4 linked regions of the Saccharomyces cerevisiae S288C genome follow. The gene in region 1 interacts genetically with each later gene. Each region holds a gene or a part of one and is shown on either strand. Other genes may lie near its edges. The genes, in order: EXP1, KIN2, RQT4 and SPS2.

Region 1 (6,537 bases):
AAATCTGAAGCCCAAATTATCCTACGTTGGGTGACCAAACGTGGCGTGTTGCCTGTAACCACCTCTTCCAAACCTCAAAGAATTTCTGACGCGCAAAATTTATTCTCTTTCGACTTGACGGCTGAGGAAGTCGATAAGATAACGGAGTTGGGCTTGGAACATGAACCGCTAAGATTGTATTGGAATAAATTGTACGGTAAATACAACTACGCTGCTCAAAAAGTATAAATACCGGATAATTTATGTACGAGTCATATTTGTTTTGTATAACTTTATTAATCGACTTTTTTTGTCAGGTTTATCACCCCGTTACCCATCCCGCCACTTTTCAGCATCGAGGAAGAAAAAAGGGCTGTACATTATATAAAAGGCCATCAAAAAATACCGGAAGAGGGCATCTCCCCAATAAAGGTGCCACACTGAGCAGAGACAGATAGGGACGCGCATCATGTGTTGCTACTGTGTTTGTTGTACCGTTTCTGACTTTATACTGTATATTGTTGCGTTTTTTTTCCCCCCAGCTGCAGTCCTTCTTCGATCTGGGCCTTGTTCATCTGATTTCCTCCTGAATGTATTGCTAACGCTACTGGGATTTTTGCCCGGTATGTTACACGCATTCTACTACATCACAATTACAAGTCCTTTAAGGAACGCTGAATACGTCTATTATTACCAGCAAGGCTGGGTGGATAGCGAAAGAAACGTTCCTTCGAATCGTCCTCAAAACTCGCAGACCCCCCAAAACCGCCCACAACAAGGAAGCTCCGCTAGAAACGTATACCCGAGCGTTGAAACTCCTCTGTTACAAGGCGCAGCTCCCCATGACAACAAACAGTCTCTGGTTGAGTCTCCTCCTCCTTATGTGCCATGATGAAGCTACAGCAAGGAAAATGAAAATTCCAGCAAGCAAGCAAGCGAAGACCGTTCTTCTCTTTCCTATGATCTTCCTTAGCAAAGAGGTTTGCCAGTCAAAGTAAAAGAGCTGCCATTAAGAAATGTATTTCATTTTGACAGCTTCTTCGATCAATACCGCCAGCTCCCTCGAGCCTATAACTATTTTGCGGATCTGTAAGCCGTAATGTTTTTCCCATAAACGTCACTGAATGTCCATATATCATACTACCAGTAAGCGCCTGTTGGAAACCTTCCTACCTTCATACGTGTATTCTGCTATATCCCTTCTTTTCCTCTTTACGTACAGAATGACATCTATGTAGGCAAGTTTCTTTTTCCATCATTGGAAAACGAAAATACATTTTTCACTAGCACCACAAAATTTTCAAGATGGCCAGGCTAGTTAAATCTATTATACAATAATTATTGGTTATATATTTAAAAAACAGAAACATTTTTTGCTTTAAAAGCACGCCATAGTATTGCTTTTAATATTGTGATCTGCGTCCTTTTTTTTCTCAGGAAAAAAAAATTTTATACACATTCAAAGAATAGAAGCGATTGTCAAAATTCGCTTCTCCTTTCTTTTCCATTATAACGTCTGATCATTTTACGTCTTCAGTGCCCTCCCTTGTTCGAAACTAGATACTTTCGAACACTTCTCCCCTTTTAATCTACAAAATTTTGTATGGATTTGTTTATTGAAAGCAAGATAAACAGTTTATTACAATTTTTATTTGGTTCCCGACAGGATTTTTTGAGAAATTTTAAAACTTGGAGTAACAACAATAACAATCTATCGATTTATTTATTAATTTTTGGCATAGTAGTATTTTTTTATAAAAAACCAGACCATCTAAACTACATTGTTGAGAGCGTTAGTGAAATGACAACAAACTTCAGAAATAATAATAGCCTTAGCCGTTGGTTGCCCAGAAGTAAGTTTACCCACTTAGACGAAGAGATCTTGAAAAGAGGTGGTTTCATTGCTGGTTTAGTTAATGATGGTAACACTTGTTTTATGAACTCTGTTTTGCAATCATTGGCATCATCCAGAGAATTAATGGAGTTCTTGGACAATAATGTCATAAGGACCTATGAGGAGATAGAACAAAATGAACACAATGAAGAAGGAAACGGGCAAGAATCTGCTCAAGATGAAGCCACTCATAAGAAAAACACTCGTAAGGGTGGCAAAGTTTATGGTAAGCATAAGAAGAAATTGAATAGGAAGTCAAGTTCGAAAGAAGACGAAGAAAAGAGCCAGGAGCCAGATATCACTTTCAGTGTCGCCTTAAGGGATCTACTTTCTGCCTTAAATGCGAAGTATTATCGGGATAAACCCTATTTCAAAACCAATAGTTTATTGAAAGCAATGTCCAAATCTCCAAGAAAAAATATTCTTCTTGGCTACGACCAAGAGGACGCGCAAGAATTCTTCCAGAACATACTAGCCGAGTTGGAAAGTAACGTTAAATCATTGAATACTGAAAAACTAGATACCACTCCAGTTGCGAAATCAGAATTACCCGATGATGCTTTAGTAGGTCAACTTAACCTTGGTGAAGTTGGCACTGTTTACATTCCAACTGAACAGATTGATCCTAACTCTATACTACATGACAAGTCCATTCAAAATTTCACACCTTTCAAACTAATGACTCCTTTAGATGGTATCACGGCAGAAAGAATTGGTTGTTTACAGTGTGGTGAGAACGGTGGCATAAGATATTCCGTATTTTCGGGATTAAGCTTAAATTTACCGAACGAGAATATTGGTTCCACTTTAAAATTATCTCAGTTATTAAGCGACTGGAGTAAACCTGAAATCATCGAAGGCGTAGAATGTAACCGTTGTGCCCTCACAGCAGCGCACTCTCATTTATTTGGTCAGTTGAAAGAATTTGAAAAAAAACCTGAGGGTTCGATCCCAGAAAAGTTAATTAACGCTGTAAAAGATAGGGTCCATCAAATCGAAGAAGTTCTTGCCAAACCAGTTATTGACGATGAAGATTATAAGAAGTTGCATACAGCAAATATGGTACGTAAATGCTCTAAATCTAAGCAGATTTTAATATCAAGACCTCCACCATTATTATCCATTCATATCAACAGATCCGTATTTGATCCAAGAACGTACATGATTAGAAAAAATAACTCGAAAGTATTGTTTAAGTCAAGGTTGAATCTTGCCCCATGGTGTTGTGATATTAATGAAATCAATTTGGATGCTCGTTTGCCAATGTCAAAAAAGGAAAAAGCTGCGCAACAAGATTCAAGTGAAGATGAAAACATTGGCGGTGAATACTATACGAAATTACATGAACGCTTCGAGCAGGAATTTGAAGACAGCGAGGAAGAAAAAGAATACGATGACGCAGAGGGGAACTATGCGTCTCATTACAATCATACCAAGGATATCAGTAACTATGATCCCCTAAACGGTGAAGTCGATGGCGTGACATCCGATGATGAAGATGAGTACATTGAAGAAACCGATGCTTTAGGGAATACAATCAAAAAAAGGATCATAGAACATTCTGATGTTGAAAACGAGAATGTAAAAGATAATGAAGAACTGCAAGAAATCGACAATGTGAGCCTTGACGAACCAAAGATCAATGTTGAAGATCAACTAGAAACATCATCTGATGAGGAAGATGTTATACCAGCTCCACCTATCAATTATGCTAGGTCATTTTCCACAGTTCCAGCCACTCCATTGACATATTCATTGCGCTCTGTCATTGTTCACTACGGTACCCATAATTATGGTCATTACATTGCATTTAGAAAATACAGGGGTTGTTGGTGGAGAATATCTGATGAGACTGTGTACGTTGTGGACGAAGCTGAAGTCCTTTCAACACCCGGTGTATTTATGTTATTTTACGAATATGACTTTGATGAAGAAACTGGGAAGATGAAGGATGATTTGGAAGCTATTCAGAGTAATAATGAAGAAGATGATGAAAAAGAGCAGGAGCAAAAAGGAGTCCAGGAGCCAAAGGAAAGCCAAGAGCAAGGAGAAGGTGAAGAGCAAGAGGAAGGTCAAGAGCAGATGAAGTTCGAGAGAACAGAAGACCATAGAGATATTTCTGGTAAAGATGTAAACTAAGTTATAAATACGATATCCGTAATTGTGTAAATAACAATAACTATAATTAAATTGAATAATTAAAAGTCTACGTTATTCGTTAAATCAATTGTTTAGCTAGTTACGAATGTCTAAAGTTTTTGTAGGACAATTGCAAAAATCACTTCCATTATTATACAAATCCTTCGTAAGCTTCATTTTTCTTACCATTGTACTTCTTCAACTTTTTCTCTTCTTCTCTCCGTTCATCTAGTTCATCTTCGTTAATTAGGTCATCAATATCGAAATCGAAATCATTTGGATCTTTGTTGTACTGTCCAATTACACGTCTTTTAAGGCCTGTCTTTGAGTCTATTTCAAATTTTCTGGAAGCGGAAGAGGCACTTGCACTGTCATGGCCAAGGCTTTCCTCCGTGTCCTTCAGATCAAACTTTAATACATTGGTATGATCAAGTTTTTTTTTCAAATATTCCCTCTTACCAAGCTTACCAGTCGCTGACTGTGCTGTTGCAGACGATTTCGGTTTTGTTAGTTTGAATGTACCGATGCCAGAAAACAATGGCAACAATGCAATGAAAGCAATCACAATAATGAGAAGTAAAAAATAACCGTATAGATTCATGCTCCGGACTTATTGACTTAGGCACCGAGAACTTTAAGGGAATTCGTCCTTTTCTTTTACTAAACGTAGATCATGGGTGCTTGATTTAGAGATACAACTCATCGCACTTGACAAATTTCAAAAAACCGTATTCAGTGATCATATTTGAAAAGTCACGTTTCTTACAATGTCCACATAGCCCTATAGGATATGAGGGATTAGTAACCGTAAATGATCTCTTTGAATCGCATTTTTAATTGAAAGCAACCTCGCTTGAAGACACTTACAAATCGTTACGTACTACTGAATACCAGAAAGATAGTATTTCAAAAAAAACTAAGCGAGAAGATAGAGTGTAGCAATGATTAAGCGGTCTCTCGCAAGTTTAGTTCGAGTCAGCTCTGTAATGGGCAGAAGATATATGATAGCAGCGGCAGGAGGAGAACGTGCCAGATTTTGTCCAGCTGTAACAAATAAAAAGAATCATACTGTAAATACTTTTCAGAAGAGATTTGTAGAATCCTCGACAGATGGTCAAGTTGTGCCTCAAGAAGTGTTAAACTTACCGCTTGAAAAATACCATGAAGAGGCAGATGACTACCTAGACCATTTACTAGATAGCTTAGAAGAACTGAGTGAGGCTCATCCGGATTGTATACCTGATGTAGAGCTAAGCCATGGCGTAATGACATTGGAAATTCCAGCTTTTGGAACGTATGTAATAAACAAACAGCCTCCAAATAAGCAAATTTGGTTGGCATCACCATTGTCCGGGCCTAACAGATTTGACCTTCTCAATGGGGAGTGGGTTTCGTTAAGAAATGGCACAAAGCTAACAGATATACTTACTGAAGAAGTTGAGAAGGCCATTTCTAAAAGCCAATAAGTGCACTTATCCATCGACTCTCTTATATTTATTTAAACACTTGTAACGCATCCAATCTATTTCATAGTTAGAGTCTCTCTTCCTTGTTATTGATATGATTTTTCTTTTGTACCGTGTGTGTATGTATGTATGTATGAACGTACTACTAAGCTTCAACGTCACTCTATAAAGAAACTAAAAAGACACGTATTTATACCTTTTTTGAAGAATGCGAGATTGCAATGAAATATGTGTCTATTTTTTACATGAATCTTTTGACCAACTCCTCATATATACCCCACGCAATACCTGCACTGAAGGCCTTTCTTGCCAGCCTCATGCTTAACCCGCTAAATAACTTCAGCACATTTTCATTTTTAACTATAGATGTAAATGTATTGAAGGAGTTGGTAAATTTTGATGGTTCCAATTGCATTCTCGTTTTTATGGTGTCGAACGGTGCCGTTACTGTGGTGGCTAAACTGGCGGATAGTACGGCGCTTGTTGTATTTACTGTTGTAGAGGTATAAGTAGTAAATCCTCCCTCAGGATTGTAATGTATAAACCTAGAAGGTAATACCATGGGCAGTAATTGTTTCGATTTTTCATATAGCAGCACATACAAACCTGCATAGGGAGCGTCTCTTAAACAAGTAGCTCCAAACCCTCTGAAAAATCCAAAAAGTCCTTCCTTAGTATATATATGGGTAATTGCCTCCTTTAAACTGGAGTAATTGTACAGAGTAGACTCATAACGGACTTTAATGACGGTGATAGGCATGGTTATATAACCTACCAAACCTCTTGCAAATGCACCTGTTAGTAAATTTTCATACATCGTTAATCGTGGTAAGCTACTGCTCTTGTTATATACAATGTTTGAATCGTTTGTTAATGAAGGCACAGCATTCCTCCTCTTTGCCAAAGATGAGCGCATAAGGTTCAAACATGATAAATATAAGGCGCTGCCTATTGATGTTCGTAATGCTGAAGGTAATGTACCTCTCCATAGCTGTAGAGGGCTGTCTATCTCTTTCAAATTTTTCCATAATGTAGCTTTCTTGTCTTGCTGGATTCTCG
Region 2 (9,156 bases), on another chromosome or scaffold:
CTAAAAAATTTATCAAGAAGTCCCCTTATCTTAAGATCGTTGTCACTCTTTTTCAAATGGCTATACCCGGGACATTACCTTTTCATTCATAGAGAAACTTTCTTAAGTGCTTTCTTCGGTGATACTAACACTAAAAGTTACTATTGTTCCGAAGAATTGGTATTTGCAATCGCTGCATTGGGATCTTTGATTTCATACAAATCAGAAACTGAGCTTTTTCAACAATCTGAAGTGTTTTATCAAAGAGCCAAGACGATAGTACTCAAAAAAATTTTTCAACTGGAAGATTCTTCGTTAGCTGAATCGTCGTCCTCTTCGAAATTAGCAATCATCCAGACTCTATTGTGTTTGGCATTTTATGACATTGGAAGCGGAGAAAACCCCATGGCTTGGTATCTTTCTGGGCTGGCATTTAGGATTGCCCACGAAATCGGCCTACATTTGAATCCAGAAGCATGGAGTAATGTTTATGAAGACGAGCTGTCAATAATGGATTTTGAAGTGAGAAGTAGAATTTATTGGGGCTGCTACATTGCTGATCATTTAATAGCGATCCTCTTTGGAAGATCAACTTCCTTGCGTTTGTCCAATTCCACTGTTCCAGAAACAGACGAGCTACCTGAAATTGAGACTGGTATAGAGGAGTACATATATGACCCAAAAGTAATATTGTCCACTGCAAACCCCTTGAAGAAACTGATTGTGTTATCGAGAATAACGGAGATTTTTGCATCCAAGATTTTCAGCCCAAACGAAACTCTACTTCAAAGGAGTGAATACTTGGCCAAATTTAATCTGGAGGTATACAATTGGAGAAGGGATTTGCCCCCTGAACTACAATGGACCAAGAGGTCATTGATGGAAATGACAGATTTTAACCCAACCATAGCTTACGTATGGTTTCATTACTATATCGTGCTAATTTCCTATAATAAACCTTTCATATACGAAATCAAACAAAGCCGGGAATTGGTTGAAGGTTATGTTGATGAACTGTATTATCTTTTAAAAGTTTGGAAAAATAAATTTAAGACGTTTGAGAAGGCCACAATTTACATGATTTATTCTGCGATTTTAGCCATCCAATGCATGAAGTCCAACTTGATTAAAAAGGATAGAAAACAAGACTTCTTAAATTTTTTAAGTGCGCCTACCCTGAATTACGAACTTGCTAGAAAATTCATAGAAAACTCTGAAGATGCTTTGCATAATTCAGAAACTATGGATTTATTAGGGACTCTATCTCACGGTAACGATTTTGCCTTAGAGTACAATTTTGACTTTACTTTATTGAATGAGATTGATATGCTGATTGGTGGAAACACCAATGATGGTTTGTCGAAGTAATCTTGAGTGAAGAGGATATGTTTACTTGAACAAATATTCTTTATGTAATGTGTTTGTAGCCTTTTTATTTGGGAAGGAATATACCGCTATCCTTTCCCACCTCCGAACTTATCGATTCGGAATTTTAAAGAGCCTTCCAAATGACAAAAAAAAGGATTGTAGTTCCTAGATAGCGAAATCGACTGAGCAAGATAAAAGCAAACATTCCCCATCATCTTTGGCGACGACACATGTGTTCCATAAGCTAAACTCAAGGAGCAAATGATAGTAGATTATGAAAAGGACCCTAGGGCTAAAGAGGCTATTGCTATTTGGGAAAAAGGTGTACTGAAAGAGAAGGATGGGTCAATGTCAGATGCTATAAACTTCTATCGAAGTGCATTGAAAATCCATGATAATGTGGAATCACTGTACAGAAAAAAAATACTTGATGAGTGGATGCTGCACAAAAAACTATCGGGATTATCAATGACTACTGATGCTCCAGATGAACAAAATGAAACCGGTAAAGATGACTTATCTGTTGAAGAAAATGCTGAACTTCAACCCTGCTGGATTCTGGAAATCTTGCCTGACGACATTTTACTGAGAATTATTAAAAAAGTTATATTAATGTCTGGTGAATCTTGGGTGAATTTGTCGATGACTTGTTCCACCTTTAGCAAGCTTTGCTTCCACGATTCTGTGCCATTTAAAACTTTCGCGAAGTACATATATTCTAAGCAAATATACGACAAAATGGCAATGGATCTTAACGGAATCACCGATATAAATACCTTTGAAAAGGAAATATGGCGGGGTGATGATTATCGTATGTTAAGGGAAAGGCCATATATTAAATTCGAAGGTGTTTACATCAGTGTAGTAAATTATGTAAGATACGGTTCCAATGCAGAAAGTTCGTTATCTCTTTTAAAGCCAGTTCACATGATCACCTATTACAGGTATTTCAGATTTTATGAGAACGGCCAATGTTTGAGATTACTTTCTACAGATGAACCTAGCGCTGTCGTGAAGCACTTCTCCAAAGAGAACAAACCCAGGCATAGTCATATGTGTTATTGGAGCCTCGGATTTGATTATGATTTTGGTCATTTAAAGATAACAAGGTCAGATGAAAAGTATACGTTTATCGAAGAATTCCAAATCAAGAATCAAGGCAATAAGAGATATCAACGGTTGAAATGGCTAAGTTCAATTGTAGTGGATAAGGAAGGGAATGCATCTAACTGTTCGTTGAGAAATGAGAAATCTTTTTTCTTCTCCAGAGTGAAATCTTTCAAGGATCCTGGATGACATCGATGTTTTTTGCAGTTGTTTTACTTTATTTATTATTCTTATAGATTTATGTAGAACTATTATTTCATCATATGAAAGATTAAAGAAAGCAGATCTCAGCTTAAATAAATTATACTATAATATTAAAAAAAGATAAATATTAGATAATAAAAATTGAAAGACACACGTTGAAATATTTAGTAAGAACAACGTATCTATAGGTTTAATTCTTTTAAAATATACGATGCCAATTCTTTATATAGCCACGTATTACCAGAAACCTTTTTGAAATGTACACCTGCTAGGCCGACGATACGAACCTTTACAATGTGAATCTCAAATTTAATAGGAGGCCTTTCTTTTATACCAGAAGTATTGGTTTGCTCTGTTTGACCATTTACGTTATTTATATTTTGGGCTCTTGATGTTGTTAAAATATCATCCTGTTGTTGAACATAATCTAATGACATGGAAGATAGTTCCCCTGATGTACCATTACTTTGGTTTCCGTAGTTTGGAGACATTGGGATAGATGAATTTCTTTGATGTGTATTGGTCGCTAAAGGTGTTAGTGGTATATTATTCTGGCCCCTCTTATAAGAACCTTGGCGTTTTATCGAACTATTTCTTGATGCTGAGGACGCTGTACTATGGTAACTGGATGATAATTGACTGTCTAAACTATTTTGCAGATCCATCGCCTTTCCGGAATCCAAACCCACGCCAGTAGTGGTTATAACAGGGACAGCTGCAGTCTCAATAGATGGCCTTTGTTGGACACATATGAACCCGCCTTTCACTTCTTTGAAATCAATATTCATTCTTGTTAAAACAGATATGATATTGTGACGAACAATAGGCAATGGTTTAGAGGAGGTTGTTTGTACAGAGAAAAAACCCTTCAAAAACATTGACTTTGGATAATCAATTGATGGCATAGACCCGGGGGGTGCCTTTGAAGCTTCCTCCAAAATTTGCTTCTCAGTAAGCTCCTGAGAATACACCGAAGTCAGTCTATTGTTAGTATCGTTACTGTATGTGGTAGAATCTTCAGGAACGGTCGAAAAGTTACTGCTAACAGGATTGTATCTCTCCTTGTTTGCCTCTCCCAAAAAGCCGTTATCGTTTGTCATATCTGATGGCGGAAGGGCTGCTGGTATAGGCGGCCTAGTAAATTTCAAAGATTCACGACGAGCATGCCCCACCGATTTAGCCCTTGCACTAGGATGTAACTTACGACCCTTCGGAACGGAGAGATAATGGTCACTATTATCATTATTGATACCATCGACTACAGCGTTCACATTGTTGTTATCATTATCATTAATTTGTAATTTGTCGAGATTTTCCTGTAATAGTTTTTGCCGTTGTTTTTGAACAATTAGTTCGGCGTTCTGAGGTAAAGCTGGAAGATCACTGTTTTGCTTTTGTGATACTGACCTTATAGGAGGTGCTATGGTAGTGTTTTTAGCGGGTTTCTGTTTTACATCAACAGAATTTGGCACGTAAGATGGATATCTTCTAGCGCTAGGAATATAATCTGATATAGTACGACTATGGCTTTTCGGTACTTTGATGGAAATTTCATTTGATTTTGACATATATGTTGGAGGTTCTCTTTCTGGAAGAGGTTCCTGTTGCCGTGTGGGATGCTGAGATTGTCCACTTTGTGATATTCTTCTGAATATGCCGCCTATTGTATTCTTTTCCTGATGTTCACCTACTACGGGTGAAGCAGAACGTTGCTGATATTCGCCAGACACGGGGACTGGTGTTGATTTCAAAACACCATTTAATTCCGTATGAATGTCGGAACTCTTCCTAGATGTTGGAGAAGTATGCGCTTGTTCCGGTATTGTTAGTTTAGGAGGAACCATTACATGCAGTGGAGGTTTGTTTGAGGTATTAGTGTTGTTTGAGGTTCCCGATGTTCCAATTGCCGGCACTTGAAAAATACCAGGATTAGGTACTACTTCTTTCTGAGGGCTCCTCATTTTGGTCATAATATCCGGGGAGTTATTATTTAAGGCGACCTTAGTGCCAAGTGCTACTTGTTGCTGTTGTTGCCTTTGCTGAGCTTGCGCTTGCAGGGCCAATGCTTGCCTTCTTTGCAACTTCGCTAATTTCCGTGCAACCATTTCTGAAACCAAGTGATATATTGATAGTAATGGATGATATGCTAAAGTAGGATCTTCAAAATTACTATCTGGTTCATTATAACCACTTTGCGATGGATTACTTGTAATATGATTTTGTATTAAGGTTTGTTGTGCCGTTGAATTTAGGTAGTTATTATTTAAACTTGAACTCAACCCCTTGGCGTTGGATAATTTGTCCCAGTATTCTTGGGAAAGTTGGATGTATTCCTTTTCAGTTACTAATCGGATCAATGATCTTCTTGTATCTTCAATATCGTCAATAAATTCTAGGCGATACATTTCCTTCAGAACTTGGCTATCTATCATTTCAGGGGTTAATGGAACACGATTAGGAACATATGATGGAGCCTTAAAATCGTATCCTCTGTTCATCCATGGATGCTCAACGACATTCTTTAATGTTGCTCTTCTTAATGGGTCGACAACAATCATCCTGGTTAATAAAGATATAACTTCAATGGATAAGTGTGAAGGATAGTCTACTTTACCTTTTTTTATTTTTTCATGTAAAATGCTTGAGTTCTCATCATCAAATGGTACTTTACCGCAGACCAAGACATAAAGAACAATACCAAACGACCAAATATCTACCTCAGGTCCTGTGTATGGCTGCGCTTTTAATAGTTCTGGTGCTGCAAAGTACAAGGAACCACAAAACGTATGTAATTGTTTCCTATAATCAAAAATGTTGGAAAGACCAAAATCAATGATCTTAATTTCACCTGAACTAGATATCATTATATTCTCAATTTTCAGATCTCGATGAACAATATTATTGGCATGTAAGTATTGCAGCGCACTAGCTATACCTCTGGCAAATTTCCTCGCATGGTGTTCCTTTAATGAGCCATGCTGAATAATATAATCTAACAGCTGTCCACCGGAAACGTATTCAAAAAGCATATAAAAATGGTTTGACATAGTGCACATTTCAAATAAACGACAGATATGAGGATGGTAAAGGATTTGGCCCAAAGAGGCTTCCCTAACAGTCCTTTTATCCCTCGCAATTTCTTTTTCTAACCGCTTTTGTCTTTCTAATATCTCACTCTCATTCTTTGGGGAAGGTAAAGAGTGCTGTTTATGGAGATAAGCCTTGGAAGCCCTATTAACAATCTTTATTACACAAATTTCCTTTGTTTGACGATGCTTGACCAATTTAACTTTACCCATAGAGCCTGCGCCAACCGTTTCAAGGAACTCCCAATCTCCCAAAGATCTTCTATGAAATTGCCTTAATTCCACGGCGCCATTAGGCCTCGATGCATCATTTTGTCTCTGAGCTGCCTGTTCCTTGCCCTGTTTGATATCTGCAGGAGGCATCAGTGGTGCTTGTTGCTGGTCATTTCTTGGTCCAGATTGCTTGCCCATCATGCGAAGAGTGGCTGGTGCAGCAACTCGCGTGTCGTTGAAAGCTTCTGGCGTCGGCGATAAAGATCCGCCCTTACTGGTCCTGAAATTTGGATTCACCAAGTAATCTGCTGTATTCGGATTAGGCATAGTGAAATACTTAACAATTGAGCCGCGATATTAATGGCACAATAAAACTTTTAGAAATTTCTTTTGAAAAGCGTTTCTCGGTACCTAATGCTGTTCGCGCTCAGAGTTCCGCTGAATTTCGTGTAATGCAGTATATTTTGTAATAAAGTTCTCGTGGCCCGTCCTTGACTGTGAATTTGTGTCAACGGCGTGCTCTATTCCTTGCTTAAACGGTGGCAAAGCAGGACTTCTAGGTCCACTTGAGCTCTTCTTTTCCTTTTCCAACCTTTTTAAATTTTCGTTGCTAGACCAAGTTACCGCTATCACCGCACACGGAATGCGAGAGCGTCAAAAGTGACATAATTCTTCCTTTCCAGCAACATTAACATTTATTTATTCAATAGTGACACGACTAAGAAACTAGATCAATTGCTCTATTTTACTCATACACACTGGCTAATCATATATAGATACAAAGCGGTGAATCAGCGATCGATGAGAACGAAGAGAACTAGGGGTACAAGAAATGTAGGAGCGAGCATGCCTGCCGGCGCTGCGAATGCGGATAGTGAAGACTGGAAAGAATATGTCTCCGAAGACATAATAGCCCAATTGAACAAGCACCAGCTGCCGTATTCTGAAATATTAGATGAGAAGATCGCGGACTTGGCCAATCACTGGCACTTCCAGTATGTGATGGCTTGGCTTTCCAATGTCTGCGAATCATATACTACAACGACATTTAATACTGACCAGTATGGCGGTAGCTCTACCAAATGCTTGTGGAAGAATATCAAATTCGATGAAGGTGTATTTGTAACTGACGTATTTTCGAAGATAGACGGGAAGGACTCGAACTATTACAATGATGAAGTCGACGTAGATGAAGGATCGCAAAATTTGTACGACAGAATTAGATTGCAATTATTGCATCAATTAGCGGGAAATAAAAGCGGGCAATTGAAAGATTGGAATGTTATAGTTAACCATCACTTGCAAAACTCGAGCGCGTATTCAGATTTGGTTACGGACTTACCTTTTTTGGAGCTTGAAATTGCACGCCAATTCGACATCATTTACAGTATCATAAAATTAATTGAAATGAAAAATATGATCTTCAAAAACTACTTAGCGAATAACTTGCATCTGTTTACGTTTAGTGAAGTTATACTGGATGATGATAATAGTGGAGGGGAGGAAATGAAGAGCTTGTTTGCCTTACCCAATGTTGGTGTACTCGTAAAGAAAACCATTCACAGAGTAAAAGAAGGCTCTTCCTCCCAAGTCTCTCAAACTCTGAATATCCCAATAAAACTACAGAACTGTACTATAAAAGAAAGCGACCCAGACATTCCTGATTCAGTGGAGCTTATTCATCTCGAGTACTCTCACGATATCGATGCATATCTTCAATCGATTACAATTGATTATGATGTGATTACAACTAATTGGGGGTCCATGCTAGAATACTGGTCAGAGAATAAAAGTTCGAAAGCCATAGATGAGTTCATAACTAACTTAATACCGGTGTATGCCGAACATAGACTATATTCGGCAAAACTTTTGGCCAACAGAGAAAAGGAGAGAGCAATTGCGGAGCTAATGACAAGGAGGAAAAGATCTTCGAGACTGGTAGCGAAAGAGGAAGAAAACAAGAAAAAAGACTTGGAAAGTGAGTGGTTTGAAAAACTAGATGAAAGAGAACAATTTATAAGGCACAGAAACAAGCTAGTGTCGAAGGAAATCAAAAAGATAAAAGATCTTCTTTGGAACCAATTGTGGCAATTGTACGATCAAGATTATAGAGATGAAAAATTGACCAGGCGTAACGAGCTCAAAGATAGAAGTGGTTCTGGTACACCGTTTTTTGAAACGTCTTTGGGCAGGGAGGAGGACAATCCCTTAAATGAAATCGATATCGGAGTTCTTGATCACGGCCCTAACTTTCAATCTAGTATAATCCCGGTGGAACCACCAATTCCTGGAACTGTTGGGCCACTACAGACGGGAGACGTCCCTGAATTGCCTAGTGACTTCTGCATAACAAAGGAAGAGCTAGATGAGCTTGCCAACTACGGGATCTTTACTCCGCAGCAAGAGCCCGACAACCAAGATTCTGTTTTCCAATGTCCGGGCGAACCAGAGCTGGCGCCCATGATTATCACCGAAGACACGGAGACTGACCTCTTCAATAACCGCCCATTGATATGCTGTGATCATTGTTACAGGTGGCAGCATTGGGAATGCCAACCTCCAAAAATTATAGAGCTTATATCTTCAACCACAAAATCCCCACAGCACACGCTGTCGCAACGTGATTTTGGCGTCATCATAATGGGAAATTCGCACGGCAATAGAAGGTCTTCTCGCAGACCCCAATCCACACTTGAACCCAGCACCAAGTCTTCAAGACCTACTGATAAACGCAAACCGCTGTCTGAATGCTCCACTTTTATCTGCGCTTGGTGCATCAGGGACTTGGAACTTGAGCTGCGCAACATTTTTGTGCCTGAATTGAAAATAATAAGGGCCAAACAAAGAAAACAACAGGAAGACCGTGAAAGAAGAAAAAAAATGAAGGAAGAAAAGAAAAGGCTCGAAGAGCTTGCAAAGAAAAGGGAACTAACCGAGTCTGTCTCACCTCCAGTGTTTAATAATGCATTTGCAAACATGTCAAGTAGCACAACGCCTAGTATCGCCGCTTACGAAAAAACAAATCCAGCCATCAATCCAGCACCTAATGTAAATGCCGCTCACCCCATAATTACATACTCGCAGCAAACTGGCAGCAAAACTGTACCACAAGCACCACAGGCACCACAAACATCACAAGCATCAATCCAACCACAGCAGCAACAGCAACAGCAACAGCAACAGCAACCGCTGCACCCTA
Region 3 (7,352 bases), on another chromosome or scaffold:
GGAGATCTTCAATGGAAACTCTTCGATCACTGGGTCATCCTCTTCTTCTTCACCAGTATCATCTTCAGCTTTTACTTCTTCGGATTTTTCCTCTTGCTCATTAGCTATAGCGCTGTTTGTTCCGTTCTCATCCGCTATCATATCAATGTCGTTAGATTCATCCTCAACATCAGCACGGTCCTGCGTCCTGTCTTCCTCATCCTCTTCAGTAACAAACAACTTGTTGTCAATACTCATCTATAACACTAGCCTATTCCACTTTCACCTTGCACTGCTTGAGCCAGATCATTTAAGCTCATCTCTCGCTTTTATCCATCTTTTGCATTCATTGTAACATTTCTTTTTTTCTTGAATAATTTTGTCAGAATACTAACCCTAAGGCCTGAAAAATGAACAGAGTTTTTATAAAATTTCAGTTTAAAATTGAATGTTGCCCTAACAATATGGATTAAAAACCCTGACATATTAGGTTTCCATTTTACTTGAAAAATTTGCGATGAGCTTAGGAAAATAAAAGATTGAGTACTTGTATGTGATATTTCTAATTTAAGAAAGTACGATTGTTTATATTCTTTTTCCTTTGGGATTATTCATATTCCAAATAAGCATACTTATTCAGCAATTTAACACCAAGATGAGCGATGAAGATTCTATGCTGTTAAACTTCACTACCAATGAGGACACTGCAGGAAGTTCCTATAAGCAAGCTGCCAAGGTGACAGGCGGTAGATGGAAGGATAGAAGAAGAATGAAAATGAAGCTTGAGGGCAAGACAGTCTCGAGGAAAAGAAAGGCGAACACTACAGGGGACGAAGGGATAATTCCGGGTAGAGGCGAGAATTCTATTAAAAAATTGCATAAGGAGAGTTCCTATAGTTCTGAAGAGCAGGAAAAATATAAGGGTAGAAATGCTCATAACACTCAAGGGAGAACTCTACCAGCCGATTCTCAGTTTGTTTCATCCCTGTTTACATCTAACAGAGAGATTACAACTGCGGTAAACACTAATATTCATGATGAAAACGTTGCCATCAATCCGTCTAACGCGCCCTTGAAAGGTGATCAGTTTGCGTCTTTAGGTGTCTCTAGTCTTCTTGTTTCTCATCTGGAGCAAAAAATGCGTATTAAAAAGCCTACGAGCATCCAGAAGCAGGCCATACCTCAAATAATAGGTAACGCGGGGAAGAACGATTTTTTCATTCACGCCCAAACAGGCTCAGGTAAGACTTTATCGTATCTTTTACCTATAATATCTACTATTTTGAACATGGATACTCATGTTGATCGTACTTCTGGTGCATTTGCATTGGTTATTGCTCCTACACGAGAACTAGCATCACAAATATATCATGTTTGTTCCACGCTTGTGTCATGTTGTCACTACTTGGTCCCATGTTTATTGATTGGTGGAGAACGTAAGAAATCAGAAAAAGCTAGATTGCGTAAGGGTTGCAATTTCATAATCGGTACACCAGGTCGTGTTTTGGATCATTTACAAAATACAAAAGTTATCAAGGAGCAATTGAGTCAATCTCTAAGGTATATCGTATTGGATGAAGGAGATAAGTTAATGGAATTGGGTTTTGATGAGACGATCAGTGAAATTATTAAAATTGTTCACGATATTCCCATCAACTCCGAAAAATTTCCCAAGCTACCGCATAAGTTAGTGCACATGTTATGTAGTGCTACACTTACTGATGGTGTTAATAGGTTAAGAAACGTGGCGTTGAAAGATTACAAATTGATTAGCAACGGTACCAAGAAAGATTCTGATATAGTAACGGTTGCGCCCGATCAACTATTGCAGAGGATTACTATTGTCCCACCAAAGTTGCGTCTTGTAACATTAGCTGCTACTTTGAACAACATTACCAAAGATTTCATCGCTTCCGGTCAACAGTCCAAAACGCTGCGTACAATCGTATTCGTATCATGTTCAGACAGCGTGGAGTTTCATTATGACGCATTTTCAGGAAGTGACGGGCACCATAAAAATCTAACGGGTGATTCTGTAAGACTATTGACAAAAGGAAACACTATGTTTCCTTGTTTTTCAGATTCTAGGGACCCAGATGTAGTGATTTATAAATTGCACGGTTCTTTATCCCAACAAATGAGAACCTCTACATTGCAGCATTTTGCTCGTGATAATGAAGCCACCAAGGGAAAACATCTTATTATGTTCTGTACAGATGTCGCAAGTAGAGGCCTAGACCTTCCCCACGTTGGATCTGTTATTGAGTTGGATCCACCATTTGCTGTTGAAGACCATTTACATAGAGTTGGTCGTACAGCAAGGGCCGGTGAGAAGGGTGAAAGTTTGTTATTTTTACTTCCTGGCGAAGAAGAAAAATATATGGACTATATCCAGCCGTATCATCCGATGGGTTGGGAATTACTGAAATTCGATAAAGAAATACTAATGCCGGCTTTCAAAGATGTGAATGTCAACAGAAATGATAAATTCATTAGAAAAGATGAGAAATCGTCCAAAAATAAAGACGTGGGCGATAAAGAATATGAGTGGGATACCAATGCTACGACATGGCATTTGAATATAGAAAGACGAGTAGTGGGAGATTCCGCATTCAAAAATTTGGCCGTTAAAGGTTTCATTAGTCATGTGAGGGCTTACGCAACGCATATCTCTCAAGAAAAGAAGTTTTTCAACGTGAAGTTCTTACATCTAGGCCATTTAGCTAAAAGTTTTGGGTTACGTGAAAGGCCAAAGGCTATGGGATTGCAAAGTAGTAAGGATGGTAATAGTGAAAAGAAGCCAACTAAGGAAAACTCTAAAAATAAAATGTTTCGTATGGCTCGTATGGCAGAGAAGCAAATAGCAAGTGAGTTTAACTACTAAATAGACAAGAACAAGCATTAATTCATATAAAAAAAAATTGTATACTATGAAGACAAAGAAAATGATAAAATCTACAGAAAATGAATAACGGTTATATCCTCTATCATATATAATATAAACTTTTACCATTCATCAAAGTACAGCAAGAATATTCTGTTCTACTGATGCGTCTGCATTTTGGTCCACTTGTACTCTTGACTTTAAATCATAAGCTTGCATGTCGTGAGCCTTTTCTTCCGTTTTTCTATTCTGTTGTGCAGTATCTGAATTTTTTTTCACATACGTAGGCCTATCGAATTGTTTTTTATCACGTTCGTAATCCCATGCTTTGGACTGTAAATGCAAATTCTCCAAGGATTTCGTTGTATTTATTTCACTTTTCAGAGCGTGTATATGTTTAAGGTCGCTGATATCTTCTTCGTCACTTATATCACTGATGTCATCATCTGAACCTGCAATTACGTTCTCTGTATCCTTAGGGACTTCTGTCATAGTAACTTTACCGTTTGAACCTATATTCATGCTAACAACGTACTTCTCGCGCCTGCCATTCCGTTCCTTTTCTACTTTTTCCCACTTTCTCAAATTACGTTGTTGCTTCTTCAACGCAAGAGCTCTTTCTCTTGCGCTGCCCCATAAACCCACCTCCTGATTCATGTCAAAATCGCTGGCATTATCAATAATTTTTGTTCTTTCTGCCGAAGTGTCTTGGAAATATAAAAGTCTATCTAATCGTTCTTGTGCTGCTAACAACTCCGGGTTTTCCTCAGCTTTATGGTCATGCTCGCTCGCTTGTCTTTCCTTTGCTTCGCTCTCTTCTTTTTCCTCCTGCAATTTCAACACTTCATTACGCTTTCTTTCTCTTTCTCTTTTCCTTTCGATGAAATCAAATAATTTGTCCTGTTCAGCAAATAAATTTTTACCCATACCGGAAGTTATTTTGTAGGTTTTAGTCTTCTTCTTTGGGACATTAGCTCCATTTGACGCATTGGATAAGGACGATGATGAACCGTTTAGTTCGTTTTTTTCCTGATTTAAAATTTCTACCATTTGGGTTCTTTCGTTATCAGAAATCAACTGTTCATGGCAATGACCGCATTTACCTTTATTCAATCCCTCTATAACACAAACCACTTTACCACAGTGAAGACAGTTTGGCGCGATGTCGAAAACTGGATGCCTTGTACCTTGACAATTACAATTTTTAGAAGAACCGCTATCTCGAAGCTCTAGCATCTTGATTGCTTCGTCTATTTCTTGTAACGATTGTAATTTCCCCTTTGATCTGTGCTCTTTTTTCTCCTTTATGGGGTTTGATTGCGTAGATTGATTTGATGGTTGAACGGTAGGCCTCGTTGTCGAGCTTTTCTTCTCATCCTTTAATTTTTTTGGTTTTTCATCTCCCTTCTTATTGATATAGTTATTAGTGGGCTGTTTTGATTCATTTTTCCATGAAGTGGGGGCAGTATGTTCAAGATGCACATTTTTCGTTTTTTTTTCCTCTTTTTTATCATTCTGATTCAATAATTCATTGAACTTCATTACAAATTCAAACGATAGATCTTCATGACCTAGGAACTCCAAAAATTTTGAAGCAATTTGTTCTGGATCATCAGATGATGTACTCAGTACTTGTTCGCACAGCGCTTTTACATCAGACTCTTCCAAAGGCAATATTTGCGGAACTTGTTTGATTGCATAGTCAATAGCCTGCTTTCTTGTCATTATTAATTACTGCAAACCCAAGGTTAAATAATTAAGCCACTGTTTCTCGGACTACGTTCACTTTGCCATTATTTGCTGCTGCCAGGCTCTTTATGCCTCTTTCTTGCTGTATAATATTTCAATATTTGTCCGATACCCGGCAAGCGAAGATCATAAAGAATATCGAAATGAACCTCATAACTGAAAGCAATCATCATAAATTTGTGCTTTGAAGAAGCAATATAACTGGTCGAGTTACGTCAAGTTCTGCCTAGCAATGTTATAGCATTTGAACACATTATGGCGATCAAGAAAAGAAATAAAATTAGGTTACCAAGTGGTTCTCCTGAGGAGGTTGGAATTGATGGTTCTGCGCATAAGCCAATGCAGCAAATTAAGCCCCTAGTGTCGAACGATTCTGAAGATGATGACAACGACATTTGTGTATTACAACCAATAAAGTTTAAAAAAGTTCCTAAGCGCGACATTACCTTTGATGGCGAACAAGCAATAAAGGAGGATAATTCGCATTATGAAGATCTTTACCATTCAAAGAAAAATACCAATGCATCGACGCGAAACAAAGATGATTTGCTAATTCTCAATATGGAGGACTTGATGGAGGGGAATCATCATCTATTAAGTGATTCTTCAGAGGCTGGCAGTAGCTCCGAAGGTGAGCACATTAGTAGTATACCAACCCGAGGAGAAATTGCAAAACTGAAAGCACAGAAGTCATTATCTAGAAGGAAAATTAGTGAGAGTGATGTTACAACAGAAAGAGATTATGTAAAATTGTTGGACAGTGAGGATAAACGCGAAATTATGGAGACAATAAGATTAAATGGTGGTCTGAAACGTAACAATGAAAAGGAGATTACGAACTTCAGTGACGATGAAATGCAAGGCTTTCAAGACGAAATGCTAGCCCTCACGGATAATCAAATTGCTATTCAAAAGGATTCTAAAAGAAAGATTATAGAGAAGGCCATAAATGAAGTGCCCTACAGAACTAATGAAGAATGGGAAACCCAGCTTTTAAGCAAAGGAAATATAAACAAATCGAATGAGAAAATCATCACGCCCTTACCGGTACTTTTCCCAGACGATGATGAAAGTGGGAACAGCATTGAGAGAATAAACGAGATGGTTTCGAAGATCTGCTTGCAAAGGAAGAAGGTTGAGATGAGGTTGCAAGCGTTAGAAAAAACAAAAATTGACTTGGAAAAATCTAAAGCAAGCCTAATAAATAAGCTCATTGGTAACTGAACGTTAATCATGTTATTTTTTTAATCGCTGTACTATTAAAAAGGGATATCTTTACGACAAGTGATATGGATGTATAGATTGATGGTGTATATTTGTATACTATAAAATGTCCAATATATTGTACACTATTGAATCACAGGACACAAAGTAAAATGGTAGCAATTCTGTCGGAGAATGAAAATAATGTACTTATTTTCTCTTTTCGCGAAATGCTTTCTTAAAGTCGTCCAGTACACGGTTTTCACTAGCAACGTTAACCGAGTAGGCTGCTGGGTCAACATGGTTCTTGCTTACCTCCCAATCAAATTTGGAATCTGATGACATTCTTGGATCATAAAATGCTGTAATATCGACTGAAGAATCCACTGTATCTTCTGGATTATCAACTCTGTTATTACTATTGCTGTTTGATTGTATGACGTTATCATTAATTTTAAGTATTGGTAGTTTCTTATTGAAATTTAATGATTGGCTTTTGGGAAAGGCATCTTCGTCACTACTGCCTAGCATCTGGTTTATGTCATTGAAATGCTGATTGTTCTGTCTTATTGTACTAGGTAACACTGATGTTGCGTGTAGACTGGCACGATTTTTTTTTCTCCCATCAAGACTCATGTTTAAAGACTGCAAAATAGGAGTGTGTGAATTAACGTTCTCACTCGGAGCACTGGTTGACAGCTTGAAGTTGAAACCAGATGCTATATCGCCATCATTGTCATCTTCGTCGGATAAGTCATCAATTTGAGACCAACCATTGAATGAGTCCTCCTCAATGCTGGCCAATGTCTCTCTAGATTTGTTTAGTTTTAGTTCAGGAATTTTAGATGAACTTGTATCGTAGTATGGCAATTCAATCCCATCGGCCTTTAATACATCAAAATATGATGGAGGATCCACAGGAATAGCATGAGAATCGGCTGCGCCGCGCTTAGCTAGATCAAAATCAAAATCTGGAGGCGGGGAGTTTGATAATGGTTGGTAATTGAGAATTGGTGAGGTGATGGGCGATAATGGTAACGCCTGAGGAGAAGTTAATTCTCTTGGAATCTGATTGGGCTTATAAATGTTTGCGACCAGCTGTTTGGATGCGAAGACATTGCTACTTTGATCATTCTTCTTGGAGGTATTATCTGACTTGCTTTTCTTTACGCTTTCAGCTCTATTACGCACTACTGGAAGATCAGACGGTATTCTAATGTTCATCTTCTGCACGTTAGGTGAAAGAACGGGAGACGAAAGAACTTCTTTTGGGAAGAAAATATTGGAATCATGATGACTTGCGTAATTTTGTTGATCTGCTGCTGGTGCGAAATTACCATCTTCATCACAATACTGGAAATGACTCTCGTAGCTCGGTAGCAAAGTATTCGCGTGTGAGCATAGTTGATTTAAAATATGGATTGGAGAATCAATACTTATTTCGAAATGTTTTCTATTGTCCCCGTACTTCTTGGAAAGACGAAGGCAAATTTTTATCCAATGGTGGGCTTTGATTTTATCATAATTTGTATCAGGG
Region 4 (7,308 bases), 1.2 Mb from region 1:
GCAACAAGATGCATGGAGTACGTATGTGGCAAACTTTTTTTTATAGTTGAAAATATATCCATATGAGGATGCCAGCCATCATGTCAAGTTTCAATGTAATTATGGTTGTGTATATTATGTTTGCAGCAAAATAAAATAAAAGGGCTCTAACTACAATATATTAATATAAAGAAATGTTATTCAATCTAGTTTGGGTATGAATTTTTTCCCTCTTAATAAAAATAGTTTAAGTAGTTTGTTCAGTCTTCTTATCGCTGGTAAACATTTTTTGGGAATTTGGTTTTAAACTATCAAAAAAATCCTGAAAAAAGTCTTCAAAGGAATTGAATTGGTCGACGTCAGGAATCATGAAGTGACTACTGGACAAGTTCTCGTGCAAAGTACCAACATTAGTAGGCGAAGTAGCGGGTTTCGCGGCGTGCAGATTTCCTGCTCCTGTGTAGTTATTAGCATTAGTCGACATTTTATCATTATCACTATTCTCTTTTGACAAACTGCCAAAATTAATACGAGTCTTACTAGTATCAATTATAGATTTTATGATTTTTCCAACGTTATCAGTAGCCTCATTCATTTTTTCCCCTATAGTGCTCAAATGCCAGTACACTTTTGTACAAAGACTCAAAACGCGTTGACGTTCAGAAGAATCGAACCAATAAAGATAGTCACAAAGAGTTAAACAGGCGTAGACTAGTTGATGACAAGTAAAAATCGGAGCACCCCTTATTAACGTTGGCGGTAGTCTCAAAAACCCATTCAACAGCGAAAATGAATGTTCTTTCATCGTATTAAGAATTAGTTTCAAAAACCTTTGGTTGCTTTTTAGCGTGGAAGAAAATTCTGTGATAAAAGTGCGACATATCATGATATGATAAAAATCAAATGTGAACAATAGCACGCCCGCGCCATCCTTTGCTAAAAGCTCTTCCCAATTTTTCAGCCAATAATTTAGCTCTGGAAAAACAAAGATAAAAGTATCTGCGTTACCTCCATATCTGTCATTGTTAAAGTCATCCAAACACTGCGCAAAATAATTTTTAAGGTTTATAAAGATGCCATTTACGATGTCACCTAAATTTATCTCACTGATTTTAATGTCATCACCAAAATTCGCCTGAGGAAATTTCGCCACAAGTTTATTAAACTCTTTAAGCATATCATCCTGTTCCCTAATATCGCCGTAACTAATGGAATATTCTAAATAGCAGGCAGTTAGTGAATTTAGTATTCTTAGATGATAAAGATCTTCGGGATTATACACTTCTTTTACCAAAACCCTATCCTTTATCTGATAAAAATCTATTACATGTAACAAGCTATTGAGCGCAAAATTGCTTAGTACCAGAGAATTAAACTTCAGTTGCCTATATCTCTTTGCCTTTCGCGAAATATGGAACATACAGCAATATAAAATAGCCTCAATATCAAACGCTGTTAACTTTTCAAACATGGTTAACGTATTAGTGAGTAATCTCTCCACTAAAGGATACAATATTTCTTGTTCTGCAGCGTATTTATCGTTGTCAGCAAAACTCATAGCGATAATAGTAAAAACACTTGTAATAAATAGGTGTGAGTGGGCATATTCCACGTCTATCTCTTTTCTCCCACCTGGAATTATCCAGAAATGGGATCTCACCAGAAATTCTTTTGCAAGCTTATGGCATAATTCCTGATTATTCTCATAAAAATGGAGAAAGTTCACTCTTGCAACAGCATATGGCCTTTGCTGTCCAGCTAGCTTCGCAGCTTTAGATGTAGCCTTCGATGGAAATAGCCTCTCATCAATATCATGTAGCAATTTTAAAGGAGATTCCTTCAACTTAAATCCATTTAAGAAAAGATTTTCTTTTCTATATTCCCCTGTTTTCCTTATCGTCTCTGAGCCCGAAGTTAGACGACTATCGTACGTCTTATTTGAGCTGAAATCCACGTTCTGAATATCATCTCCAGGGCCTTTGATATCGCTGTTATAAGACATCTTTGCTGTGGTGATTATCAAGTCCATTTTCTGGTGTAAAGATTTTATGTGCTCTTCTAAAGATGAAAGCCTTTTATCGATCATGTAATTATCAAAATTGACCGTTCCATTCTTTTCAAAACTACTTTGGCTTTCGTTGGGAGAGTCCGCATTCAAATGAGAGAAAGAACCAAGGTTGTGATTAATTGAGTTGATCTTCTTTAGTAGACCATCCTCACGTAAAGTATTCAAAATTTCATTGTCTTTATTCCTGGCTAAGGAGCAATCAAGCTGCAGAACGTTACATCTGTAACATTTTCCAATGAAAGGTTCAAAATCGCACCTTGTCTTCACTCTCCTGCAAGTATCACAACTAAATGTTTTTCTTTTCTTTCTAGGTTTTTTGTTGCCATTATTCTTAGGACTGTTCGTTTCACTGCGCTCTTTGGCTCTTGCACTATCCTCTGGGTGGTTTATTATGGATCTGATACTATTTCGCACCTTTCCAGAAGCAGAATTATATCCAGCAGTCATCGGTAAACCATCTGGTCTGGGGCTTACTGAGGCATTTGAGTTTATATCCATTTTTTTCCCTGATGTTCAGCAAACCGAAAGAAATATAAAATACAACTGGGAAAGATGTTTTAATGGTGAGTAAGCAAAATGTGAGTGGTTTTAACCCTAAGGAAGAACCGTATCAAAACACTATTTTTCAATTAAATCATCTACCTAATGAGCTCATTTTGTTAAGATGATCTACCATAATAATTATTCAAAAACTGTCAAAATTAAAAGGAGGGTAACAGTTTCAATAGTTTAACCAGTTTTGGTAATGCCTGAAATAACATAAAAAGCTGATGCTAAGTGGGCTACGCTATGCTCCAGGTGAAGATAATCAGAACACTACATCTCTACTGCAAATTTATATCTCATAAGAACTAAATAAAATGGCTAGTATTTAAGTTAATCTTCTAACCTAAAAAATTATCGAGAACAATACCGTGAAAACTGCATAAACTGACATTTTGAAAGCATCAATAAAAATGTTCTTCGGAGCACTGTTTTCCATCTTCTTTGAACTTCCTTGACTTTTTGCACCATTTTTTCCTTTTTCTTTCTTTCCATTATCATTGTCAGTTTCCTGCTTTCCTAGTACATTCCCCTCTTCATCAACATTCAGCATTTTACTTTTCATACCAGATGTGCATTCGATTTTACCGCCTCTTATGATCGAACGACCGGCTTTTGGTGATGTAAATTCTTCACAGTTTAATTCCTCAGATGAACTTTTGATATAAGCGCTACCTTTTACTAACTTTAGCTCTGGGAGGTCAATTTTATCAAAGCTACCTTCAAAATATATTGCACCGCCAATTTGCCTCAACTTGGGGAAGAAATCAATTTTGGCAAGCTCTGTATTGTTAGCAATCATTAGACCCCCTTGAATATCGGTGGCATTCGAAAAGTTTAGCTTTTTCAGATTTTTATTATCTATTAACCCCAACGTTCCTTGAACTTTTGCCAAAAGTGGTAGTTCCAAGCTTGAAAATTGATTCTCGATGAACTCTAGAGAACTGTTCACAGAGGAAAGTTTAGCTAGTTTAATTTCTGAAACGTCCTTAATGGTCATATTTTCAACCGTGTGTAAGTTGCTCAAATCAAGTTCCAGCTCTTTGGCATTAGAGTGGACGGTTAGTTGTTTAGTAACACTTTCTAAACTTGCGAATAAATTTTCTAAAAACCTGTTATTGTTGATATTGAAAATATCCACTTTCTTGACGTTATTGAAGTAATCGATGGAGGTTAATGCAGTATCAGATATGATAATATTTTTGATCTTTTTAATATTTCCGTTAATGACAACACTACTTAGAATAGGCAAAACTCTCCAATCAACGGTTTCAACTTCTTTTAAAGCGGGAAAGTCTAATGATACAAAGGAAGTTAGGCTATCCAATTCCAACTTTCCCAAAGACTCTAAATTATAACCCTGGATTCTAAAAATGTGTTTGTTATTCTTGATAATAAGATCTCCCTCTATCTCTCTTATTAACCCTAGATCAATAAGAGATCCGCTGTAGTTACTTGATATTTCAATGTTTCCTACCACTTTCCAACATTTAGCTTGCAGTTCAATCAAATTTCCAGCATTCTCAATATGATACAAGCCTTTTTTACAGTCTTCATCTACTTGTGTTTGTTTTGTTGGAGAAATCACCTCAAAATCAGTTTGTTCCTTTTTAGGGATCGTTGCATTAGTGTTAACCAACATAATGTTGTGATCTAGAATATTCGGTCCACCATTAGGTTCAACTGCAGCGGATGATTTAATTAACTGCAGAAACAAGAATAAAAATCTTAAGATTGTGTTCAACTGGTTCAACATGCTATCCTTTTCTTTTTTTGTAGAAACTTTGGTTTCTTTATTGACTATTTGAATAACAGAAATACTAGTGAAGAATGTTTGTGTTTTCCAAATTGGCATTTTCTTTTATAGTCTAAGTAATGCCACAAAATATTTTTTTTGAGACGCATCAATGACGGGACAGTAAAGACATAAACGCTCGATCAGAAAAAAAGAATCGAAAAAAAAAGGGAGAAATAAGCAGGTAAATAATCAAAAACACATGACTTTTTACTGTTTGTTATATAATTCAATATATCCATCCTTCATTTATTGAAGATGAAAGAGAATGGAAAACAAAAACTCATGCATATACACACATTATATATATATATCTATTTTTTTAAACGAATCCTTTCTTTATTGCTTCAATTCTTAGTGAGATCTCTTCTATAAAAACCTCATTAAATCCAGGAACGTTTGCCTCAGTTTTAATGAATTGCTTTAACATTTCATTTACGTATTTTCTTGTTTCATCGTCGCGCGCACGATCATACATTCTGTTGAGAATATGAGATACAATGTTTTTCAAGTAGTCAAACTTTTCTATCTTCAACGCCTGAATATCGTTCTTTTTATGCTTCTTATTATGATTAGAGAGAGGAACTATTTCGGTCTCTGCTTGAGCATTTGGGCAGCCTGAATCTATATCCATTCCTGAATCAAGCTCGAAAACTGGTTGCGTACATTTTCTAAATGATGAAGAACTTGGGTTGGTTATCGGCGTTACAGTTTGCCCATGAAGTAAATAAGGACTTTCCATATTTAAAGATGATGTTGGAGAGTCTTGTGTAATGGGAGATAATTCCTCTTTGGAAATTTGTGTTGTGCTTAGTCTTGTCGATTCAAAATTCCAAAATTCCTTTCCCCTCACTGTGTTGCTGTTTTTATACAAGCGATTTTGAAGAGGGTATTTGGGAACTTTTGTATATCTCTCCTGAACCTTTTTCTGTTTAATTAGATCAACATCACTTTTCAAGTTCGTTATGGTGATATTCTTAACAAATTCAAATGATAACAAGTTATATGCCGATGGCCGATCAGCAGGTGTTTTAACAAGACAACCAGCTACGAAATCCTTTGCTGCATCCGAAAAGGGACCTTGTAATTTTGGAGGCTTCCTTTTTGGTAAGTTAGTCATAACTTTCATAGGATCATATTTAGATAATGGGGGTAAGCCCTTGAGTAACTCATAGGTGGTGATACCCAAGGACCATATATCTGCTTTCTCATTATACCCATCAACTTCGCAGCAAACAACTTCCGGAGCCATCCAATACGGCGTTCCTACAAAAGTGTCCCTTTTCAAAGTGGAACGAATGTGGCCACTTACTCCGAAATCACCCAACTTAACCATACCTTCTTCATTTAGTAAAATATTAGCTGCTTTGATATCACGATGAATTTTCCTTTGCTCATGCAGGTATTTCAAACCCAAGGTGACTTCATGAATAATGAAGGAAACTTTTTCTTCAGGCAAACCGTTGACGTAACTTCGCTTCAGTAAATCTGAACATGATCCACCGCCGCAATATTCCATGACAATCCACATAGAGACATCTTCTAACATTGTTGCAATATAGTTTGTAATAAGAGGAGATTTCAATTCCGCCAGAAAAAAAATTTCCTGTGCTAACAGTTCAATGTCTTCGTCGGAATGCTCCAGGTTGACCACCTTAATTGCCACAATTTCTTGCGTAACTCTATCCACTGCTTTATACACATCACCAAAGTTACCTCTGCCAATACATGATTGGATGGAATATAGCTTCGATGGAGGGGTTCTTGACCTAATTGATATTTCTTTGCTTTCCATTTTGTGCTATTTTCTTTTGTTGTTTAGTAAATGAATTAGCTAGTAAAAAAACTAAATTTAAAAAGCAAATGCTGGTTTGCTTTCTTTTGAGAAATGTTTGCTAAGACAACTGACTAGCCAGGTGTTCACTAAATCGATAATATTGAAAATGGCAAAATAAGAAAAAAAAAGAAGAGAATTAGCTGGCTTTTTTTGGATAGGAAATATTAAATGAAGCAGTTGGAACCAAGATAATAAACAAAAACAGTATATTAAGTGACTCTTTAGTATATATCTGAACTAACAAGTAAAATATCGATGTTAGAAATGGTTACAATAGAAGAAAGTAGTGTCATTCTTTCGCGTCAAAAAAAAAAAATGGAATTTGTGTCTTTTTCGTTTTTATGTGTCATTTTTTTTTATCCCTGATGCCGCATTGTTCCGAACCTGGGACAGCTCCGAAATATAACTTGAGGAAAAAGTATTAGAAAAGGGAAAAAAATACAGTTAAATTATCATATATGTTATTTTTTGTCCTTTTTGGCCAATTTTAAAGACTTATGCATTGTTAATAAGTTTGTTGGGGACATCAAATTTTGAGAAGACTTAGGAATGGAGCTCAAACTCCACCTTTTACTTGCTGAGGCACTTCTTTCAGGTATGTTAACTCTCAAATCGTGTTTCTTATTGTAGGACGAAGCTGAATCTACATTTGAATGCATATTTAAATGCGGCCCTGATCTTGGACGAGAAGTATTTACAGCTTGGAATGTTCCGTACATCTCCAACTTAGTTTCCCAATATTCTAAAACCTTTGGAGACCAATTCGTAGTAATCTTCGGTAAATTATCTATATGAATACCATTGCACAATAAAAATTCTGTAATAAAAAAAATGGGCGTTCCATCAACAATTTCATAGTGCTTTAGGGAATATTGAAAAATGGAAGAATGGTTTAGATCATTCTGCTCTTTTTCGCTTGCCGTCAATTCTCTTAGGGAATATTTACTTTGGGCGATGGCTCTTTGCATCATGAAAACACTATCTAAATGGATAGCTTTAATTAAAGACTTCAAAGAAGCCTCTCTGCCTTGGTTGCTGTCGATAACAAACTTTTTAAATTGATACTTATCAATAATGAATTTGGAT

The links.
Region 2: mutations in EXP1 (region 1) and KIN2 together harm fitness more than expected from each alone (negative genetic interaction), as found in Saccharomyces cerevisiae (3 studies listed by BioGRID).
Region 3: mutations in EXP1 (region 1) and RQT4 together harm fitness more than expected from each alone (negative genetic interaction), as found in Saccharomyces cerevisiae (2 studies listed by BioGRID).
Region 4: mutations in EXP1 (region 1) and SPS2 together harm fitness more than expected from each alone (negative genetic interaction), as found in Saccharomyces cerevisiae (2 studies listed by BioGRID).

What each region holds. Positions count from the first base shown.
Region 1 is NC_001136.10:240,970-247,506, forward strand, and holds EXP1 (Exp1p), read right to left. Parts: upstream 4,614-6,537; coding exon 4,164-4,613; downstream 1-4,163. Other genes in the region: YDL124W (aldo-keto reductase superfamily protein), read left to right, coding at 1-228; SNA4 (Sna4p), read left to right, coding at 449-871; ubiquitin-specific protease UBP1, read left to right, coding at 1,583-4,012; YFH1 (ferroxidase), read left to right, coding at 4,954-5,478; HEM25 (Hem25p), read right to left, coding at 5,720-6,537. UniProt on the Saccharomyces cerevisiae protein: Specific cargo receptor protein for the plasma membrane ATPase PMA1 that acts with PSG1 to promote the transport and maturation of PMA1.
Region 2 is NC_001144.5:329,718-338,873, reverse strand, and holds KIN2 (serine/threonine protein kinase KIN2), read right to left. Parts: upstream 6,285-9,156; coding exon 2,841-6,284; downstream 1-2,840. Other genes in the region: CHA4 (Cha4p), read left to right, coding at 1-1,347; SCF ubiquitin ligase complex subunit HRT3, read left to right, coding at 1,609-2,643; IOC2 (Ioc2p), read left to right, coding at 6,759-9,156.
Region 3 is NC_001143.9:480,655-488,006, reverse strand, and holds RQT4 (Rqt4p), read right to left. Parts: upstream 4,589-7,352; coding exon 2,996-4,588; downstream 1-2,995. Other genes in the region: RPC37 (DNA-directed RNA polymerase III subunit C37), read right to left, coding at 1-237; DBP7 (putative ATP-dependent RNA helicase), read left to right, coding at 635-2,863; NTR2 (Ntr2p), read left to right, coding at 4,868-5,836; ALY1 (Aly1p), read right to left, coding at 6,026-7,352.
Region 4 is NC_001136.10:1,480,859-1,488,166, forward strand, and holds SPS2 (Sps2p), read right to left. Parts: upstream 4,446-7,308; coding exon 2,937-4,445; downstream 1-2,936. Other genes in the region: URC2 (Urc2p), read right to left, coding at 227-2,545; putative serine/threonine protein kinase SPS1, read right to left, coding at 4,708-6,180; GTPase-activating protein AGE1, read right to left, coding at 6,684-7,308. UniProt on the Saccharomyces cerevisiae protein: Involved in middle stages of meiosis. Redundant with SPS22 for the organization of the beta-glucan layer of the spore wall.